2 linked regions of the Ovis aries genome follow. The protein of the gene in region 1 interacts with the protein of each later gene in a pairwise test. Links are inferred from orthologs where the notes say so. Each region holds a gene or a part of one and is shown in the gene's direction. Other genes may lie near its edges.

Region 1 (3,559 bases):
CCAGGAGATCCTGCTTTGGAACAGAGTTCGTCTGTAACAATGGCTTGTGTATCCCCAACCACTTCAGGTGAATTGGGGATTAAAAAACTTATTAACAAACCTTAAATGTCCATGAGGCAGGGCTGGGGCCCATGATACTTTTCATGGCCTCTGAAAATGTTTGGACTTCTTTTAAAATCAAAAGAAAAAAAATAAAGAGAACTTCAAAGAAAATATTTACATACTAAATAATAATATATATGGCTTTATACCAACGTAGTCCTTAAATATAATTTTAAATATTTTTATGGAGGAAGGGGCCCATGAAAACAGAAGTGCCTGGGGTCCATGAAGGTCATAACGTGACCTTGCACAGAAGATCAGAGAGATGAGTGAAGTGGGCTTAGTAGAAGAAAATTCTTTCTTGAGGCAGCTGACGCTCAGGGTTTGCCACCTGGAATAGAGGCATGGGCGTAAGAAATACTTCATTCAATTCTTTCTGCTATAAGAAAAGTACCAGTGAGCAGGATGATAAATGGGGCTGCATGCTGTGGCTCAGGGTCAGCCTGACAACAGAGAGAGGCAGGTGAGGTACACTGTGGGTGTGTGCTCCAGCTAAGAGACACAGACACCAGTCAGCATCATGTGTTTGGAGAGAAACTGGGGATCTGGATTTTCACCTGAAATATTCTGATTTTAAGTGGTACTGGGTCTCATGACACAGGTGTGACCGGAACAATGACTGTGGTGACTACAGTGATGAGAGGGGCTGTGTGTACCCTACCTGCGGCGAGACCCTTTTTACGTGTCAGAACGGACTCTGCATTAATAAGGCCTATGTCTGTGATGGGGACAATGACTGTAGAGATAACTCTGATGAGCTGGAGCACCTCTGTCACACCCCAGAGACCACATGTCCCCCTCATCAGTTCAGGTGTGACAATGGGAACTGCATTGAGATGGTGAAAGTCTGTAACCACTTCCCTGACTGCTTAGACAGCAGTGATGAGAAAGGATGTGGTGAGTATAATGGAAAATTAGGGAAAAGGAAATGGGGGGACTGAACGTGGATTCTCAACCCTTTCTGACTTAGTAGGACCTTTCAGTTGGTTCTCTAAGTAGCACACTGCCAGAAAATTACTGCTGTTTGTCTATGAAGAAGCAAGGATTTCTTGGTCTATAAGGTCGGTCACACACATTTTTCGACTAATCATCAGTTAGTCATTCATTGTAGAGAATAGGAGATAAACAAATTAAGGCCATCTATCTAAGAGCAGACAGTGGTGATCATGCAATGACTTGTTGCTTTAACTGCCCCTCCTACATTCCTTAATCTGTTCTTAATTTTCATCCTGAGGTGACTAAAGGGGAAGGTTTAACTGGAAGTCCCCCTCCCACCGTGCCCCTAACCCCACCCTGGTTGTACTAGTTGTTAAAACTATTGGTGAAGGATCCAGGAAGGAAGTTGAGTAAGAGTGACTTTTGAATAATGTAGGGCCTTTAGAAATCCCTTTTTATGTCCCTGTTTATTTGTCTTTTTTAGCATGATTCATTAAGAACTTCAGTTCAGTTCAGTTCAGTTGCTCAGTCGTGTCCGACTCTTTGCGACCCCATGAATCGCAGCACACCAGGCCTCCCTGGCCATCACCAACTCCCAGAGTTCACTCAGACTCACGTCCATCGAGTCCGTGATGCCATCCAGCCATCTCATCCTCTGTCGTCCCCTTCTCCTCCTGCCCCCAATCTCTCCCAGCATCAGAGTGTTTTCCAATGAGTCAACTCTTCGCCTGAGGTGGCCACAGTACTGGAGTTTCAGCTTTAGCATCATCCTTCCAAAGAAATCCCAGGGCTGATCTCCTTCAGAATGGACTGGTTGGATCTCCTTGCAGTCCAAGGGACTCTCAAGAGTCTTCTCTTAACACCACAGTTCGAACGCATCAATTCTTCAGCACTCAGCCTTCTTCACAGTCCAACTCTCACATCCAACATGACCACAGGAAAAACCAACCATAGCCTTGACTAGACGGACCTTTGTTGGCAAAGTAATGTCTCTGCTTTTGAATATGCTATCTAGGTTGGTCATAACTTTTCTTCCAAGGAGTAAGCATCTTTTAATTTCATGGGTGCAGTCACCATCTACAGTGATTTTGGAGCCCAAAAATAGTCTGACACTGTTTCCCCATCTATTTGCCATGAAGTGATGGGACCAGATGCCATGATCTTCGTTTTCTGAATGTTGAGCTTTAGGCCAACTTTTTCACTCTCCACTTTCACTTTCACCAAGAGGCTTTTTAGTTCCTCTTCACTTTCTGCCATAAGGGTGGTGTCATCTGCATATGTGAGGTTATTGATATTTCTCCGAGCAATCTTGATTCCAGCTTGTGCTTCTTCCAGTCCACCGTTTCTCATGATGTACTCTGCATAGAAGTTAAATAAGCAGAGTGACAATATACAGCCTTGACCTACTCCTTTTCCTGTTTGGAACCAGTCTGTTGTTCCATGTCCAGTTCTAACTGTTGCTTAAGAACTTGGCTCGGTCCAAACCCAACCAAAAAAAAGAACTGCATCTGTCCAGCGGGAAGGCTGACTTTTTTGACCATTATGGTGGGTCCATTACTGACAACTTAGGTTCTCTGATAACTGTCTTTTACCTTACAGGCATTAATGAGTGCAATGACCCTACGCTCAGTGGTTGTAACCAAAACTGCACAGACACCTTAACCAGTTTCTATTGTTCTTGTAACCCTGGTTACAAGCTGTTGTCTGACAAGAGGACTTGTGTTGATATTGATGAATGCAAGGAGACGCCCTTCATCTGTAGCCAAAAGTGTGAGAACTTACCTGGCACTTACATCTGCAAATGTGCCCCAGGCTACATCCGTGAGCCAGATGGAAAGACCTGTCGGCAGAACAGCAACATCGAGCCTGATCTCATTTTTAGCAACCGTTACTATTTGAGAAATCTAACTATCTATGACAATTTATACTCCCTCATCTTGCAAGGATTGGGTAATGTTGTGGCATTGGATTTTGACCGAGTAGAAAAGAGATTGTACTGGCTTGATATAGAGAATAAAGTCATTGAGAGAATGTTTGTGAATAAGACAAACAGGGAGACAGTCCTAAAGCACAATCTACCAGGTGCGGAAAGTCTGGCTGTCGACTGGGTTACCAGGTAAGAAAAAAGCTATTTAAAAGTTAACAAGTTTTTGTTTCTGAAAAAGTGTTCTAGCCAGGCTTTCATCTTAATAGGGAATTGATCTTTCCCACTTGGGTTGCCAGGTAGAAACACTTTAATGCTTCGGCATGGTTTGTTTTTGTTGTTGCTGTTTTCTGGTGTGTACCTAATAATCAAATGGGATACCACAAAATCTAAAATCTAGTGACTTTTAAGAATTTATGGTATGAATTTTATGGGGGGGCACATCACAAAGGAAGAAAGAGCTCTGTTATTACTGGAGGTATGTGAAGGGATGATTCATGCTTTGGTTGGTTCAGTCATTTAAAGCTGTTGCCTAAGTGCGATGCTATTCTAGGGACTGGGGTTTGGAGGTAAACAAGACAGACACAGCCCCTGCTT
Region 2 (4,076 bases), on another chromosome or scaffold:
GCAAAGAAAAGAACGATTTCATTGCAACCTTGTTGAAACTCCAGCCTCTTTCTATAGCCCAATCTTCTCCGTAAAGTCTCCCTAACCTGGTCCTCCAACCTGTCTTTAATAACCATACTCACGACTCCGACCTGTCCTTCCCCCATTGCAGCACCAGCTGATCCTCACCCCTTGAGCTGAGTGTCAACCATTTCTCTCCACACACAGCTCCACAAAAGCCAGAACATGCTGGTTACCTAGTTGGTGCTCAAGAAAGTTTTCCTAATTGAATGAAGAGAGCCTCAGGGTTATAACTTCACCTGATGTCCATCAATACCTGGTATCCAGCCTGCGCAATCTGTACTGTGTACTGAAATTCCATGTGGGCCCCAGTCAACATCCTCTGTGTGGTAAACTCTGTCCAGACGGGATCAGCGCCCCTTGGGCAGATGCCTCTGTCCAGCACCGCTCAGCACCCTCTGGGGGAACAGCTCCTCCAGCTCTGATCAGCACTCGGCGGGGAAACAGCTCCTGCAGCCCCAGGCCGCACGTTTTAGGGAGACATCTCTGTGGGCCAGTCAGCACCCCTTGTGGGACAGCTCCGACCAGCCCTGGTCAGCACCCAGACGTGGACAGCTCCTCCGGCCCCGTTCGCGCACAGCCCACACTGTCAGTCTGAACCACTCGGATCCGGGCTTGGGAACCCCAGGCTTCTGCTCTGATTCCCTGGAAGTTAGCGCAGCTCCCGGGGCCGCACCCACCCCTCCATGAGGCCCCGTCCCCCCCACCCCCACACCAGCTAACCAGGGGTCTGCAAATCGACTTTCCCATCGCCAGTTCCTCGCTGAAGCTCTCACCACGCGAACTGATGCCCCATCCCCACCAGATTGCTTCCCACCTGCCCCCACCCCAAAGAACCAAGCCACACACGCGCCTCTCCAACCCGAGCCTCAGTCAAACCATCTCGCCTCCTCCAACCAGCTTCCCCGCCGTCCCCTCCGCCCTCCCCCGGCCCGCCCTCCTCCCCTCCCCCGGCCCGCCCTGCTCCCGGTCCCCCCGCCCCCGGCTCGCGCTGCCGCGGTGTCCTGGCGTCGAGGTGTGCTGGCGGCGGGGTGTCGCAGGGCGTGTCACGAGGTGACCGGGGGCGGGCTGAGGACGGGCGGGCGGGAGCGACGGAGGGCGCGCGGGGCTGGCGCTCCGGGCACCCCTCCCCCGCCGCGGTCGGCAGGCCTTTCCCCGGAGAAGATGGCGGATCGGGCGGAGATGTTTTCTCTTTCCACCTTCCACTCGCTGTCGCCGCCAGGCTGCAGGTACGCACTCGGGCGCCCGGGCCCTTCCCTGCCCACCGCTCCCCCTCTGACCCCGCCCCAGACTCCGCCGGCCCGACCCTGCCACCCCACCCCCAACGCCTTTGGGGGCCGGAGCCCCAGACCCTCTCAGGTCCCGAGGCCCACTTGCTCCCCATCCCCCACTCCTGGTTCCAGGCCTCTCCACTTTGTCCTCCCCTTACGACCCTCCTCCAGCCCCAGTGACCATCCCCCACCCCAGATTCCTGACGGGACCCGGTGCTGCACCCAACCTGAGCCTCTCCTCCAAAGGCGGAGGTCATGGGCCGAGCCTGAGGGGCAGCCTGCCTGCGGGGTGCTGAGCACACACTCTGCCTGGCAGTGTCCTTTTTGGCCTTGCTGGGCCTCTGGTGGAGGCCTGGCCTGGTCTGCAGGGCTCAGGGAAGAGAATTGCAATCAAGCCTGGAGCCTGGGGGAAGGGACTAGGGTGGGGAAAGGGCTGAACCTTGGGATGTAGGCCGGTCTTGGGCAGGAATAGCGGATAGAGGGGCTGAATTCTGCTCCGGAGCAGGCTCGACCCCTCCCCCTCCCCCTCCCCCAGCTGCTGCAGCTTCAGTCCCCCTCCCCCTTCTCGGCTCAGCCTGACTCCCCTGAGGCTGAGGCTGTGACCCAGAGGGGCCTGGAGCTGAGCGCAGTGGGAGGAGAGGCTGCTGGCTCTGATGAGGGGACTGGGAGGAGGGCTGGGGGCAAGTGCTTCCTCAGGGCAGGCGGTGGCTCCAGTTGTGGGGGAAATGCCCTGGAGAGCAGGGCTTAAGCTTCAGGATAATGGCAGGATGCCTGTGTGGGAGTTGGGGGCTCTGGAGATCGTGGGGTCGAGGAGCTGGGGTGGGGGGCTCCCTTGGCCCCTCCTTAGGACCAGCTCTCAGACAGGGAGTCCAGGACTGACGGCTCTCTCAGGAGCCCTGTCCTTGCTCTCCTCTCCAGGCCTCCTCAGGACATAAGCCTGGAGGAATTTGACGATGAAGATCTGTCTGAGATCACTGATGACTGCGGTCTGGGCCTCAGCTATGACTCGGACCACTGCGAGAAGGTGGGGAGAGGGCTGGGGCAGAGAACTCTCTCACAGGAGAGCCTCACTTAGCTTTTGCTCAGCGGTCTCTGGGGAGGGTCTAAGCTCAGCCTTGAGAGGATCCTCTCAGTGCCCCCTCTCCCTTGGCCTCTTGACTTGTGGGCCCCTCGATACCTGACCCCTCTCTTCCTAAGAGCGGCCCACTGAGGACCTTCCCCAGCGTTCCTGCCTGGCTTCCTCCATGGGCTGGACTTGGGGAGGGAAGAAGTGCCTCTGCTTTGGGCCCTCTGGCCTCAGATCTACCCCCTTCCAGCTGCCATCTCATCTCCTTCTCAGTCCTGTCCCCACCTCTCTAGCCTCTCTTAGCCTCCTGTCTCCTCCCCTGAAGTTCCCCTTCCCCCATCTCCTCCTCCTCCCTGGCTCTTCACGTTTTTGTTTTCATTCAAGAACATTTCTGAGCAACTCCCGTGTGGCAAGTGCTAGAGGCTTGCAGGTGCCTGGGAAGACAGCAGGACAGGTGTGGCTCTTGCCCTTGGGAGCTTATAACCTAGTAGGGGAGGAAGACAGGTGAGAGACAATGGGTGCCTGAGCCTCAGCATCTGGGTTCCAATGAGGGGACACATGGCCCACCCGAGACTGAGGCCATTAGGGAGATTTTCTAGTGGAAATGCAGGGCCATGCCCTTAGGGAAGACTAGCAGGAGCTGGCAGATGAGGGCAGTGTACCGGAGGGGATGGAGCAGAGGAATTGCTGGCGGGGGATTAGTGGATTGCAGGCCCTGAGGTTGGTGCAAGTCTGGTGAAACCTGGTGCTGGGCCTCTTTGCTTCACGCGTTCATTTGATCTTTACTGAGCTTTTATGTGGGCCAGGGCCTGTTCTCGGTGGGGGTCGGGGTACCGCAGTGTACAATATGGACATGTCCCTGTCCTGGTGGGGCTTGCAGCTTGCTGGGGAGACAGATGCAAACTCTACGGTTAATTATGAGTTGTGTTAAAATGCTGTGAAGGAAAAAGTACTGGTGTTAAATGTGATGGGATTTGAGGGTGGGATGAGGTTGGCAGGTGGGTTGGGGCCTCTTTGAGAATCTGTCACTGAGACTTAGGAGTTTGGGCTCTTATTTACCAAGATCCTTATGTATCTTAAGCTGATTTTAAAAAAAGCAAAAATCAAAAACTGCTCTGTTGATGGAGAGCAGAGTGGTCTGGAGGGAGGTTTCCCCCCTTGACTTGTGGCTTCCTGCTTTCACCTTTCCTGGCACCTGGGACCCCAGGCCGCTGTCCTGCTGCAGCCCAGCTCTGCCCTGTCCTTCTTCCTGCAGGACAGCCTTGCCCTGGGGCGTTCGGAGCAGCCGCACCCCATCTGCTCCTTCCAGGATGACTTCCAGGAGTTCGAGATGATTGACGACAATGAAGAGGAGGAGGAAGAAGAGGAGGAGGAGGACGAGGAGGAGGAGGACGAGGAGGAAGGAGAGGGGGAGGGCAAGGAGGGAGGAGGCCCTGGCTCAGAGACCCCTGCCCCGGAGCCCCTGATCCCCTCCCCTTCCCTAGAGGAGCCTCACAAGCATCGACCTACCACCCTCCACCTGACAACGCTTGGAGCCCAGGTGAGCTCCCAGGCCCAGAGCTCCCCCTGGTTCCCGGCGTGGGGGGCTCTGGTGCCCACGGCCACCTGCCCCCTCCTGCCCGCGAGGACAGGGGCGCTCAGCGCCGCTCTCCCCTGCCCCTCCCCCACCGCAGGACTCG

The links.
Region 2: the proteins of LRP2 (region 1) and MAPK8IP2 interact in a two-hybrid assay, tested with the Homo sapiens proteins (2 studies listed by BioGRID). The link is inferred for Ovis aries from reciprocal best matches to the Homo sapiens genes LRP2 and MAPK8IP2.

What each region holds. Positions count from the first base shown.
Region 1 is NC_056055.1:140,232,261-140,235,819, forward strand, and holds part of LRP2 (low-density lipoprotein receptor-related protein 2), read left to right. Parts: coding exon 1-67; intron 68-703; coding exon 704-999; intron 1,000-2,637; coding exon 2,638-3,154; intron 3,155-3,559. UniProt on the Homo sapiens protein: Multiligand endocytic receptor. Acts together with CUBN to mediate endocytosis of high-density lipoproteins. Mediates receptor-mediated uptake of polybasic drugs such as aprotinin, aminoglycosides and polymyxin B.
Region 2 is NC_056056.1:225,848,200-225,852,275, forward strand, and holds the start of MAPK8IP2 (C-Jun-amino-terminal kinase-interacting protein 2), read left to right. Parts: upstream 1-1,217; 5' UTR 1,218-1,224; coding exon 1,225-1,289; intron 1,290-2,249; coding exon 2,250-2,355; intron 2,356-3,652; coding exon 3,653-3,937; intron 3,938-4,070; coding exon 4,071-4,076. UniProt on the Homo sapiens protein: The JNK-interacting protein (JIP) group of scaffold proteins selectively mediates JNK signaling by aggregating specific components of the MAPK cascade to form a functional JNK signaling module.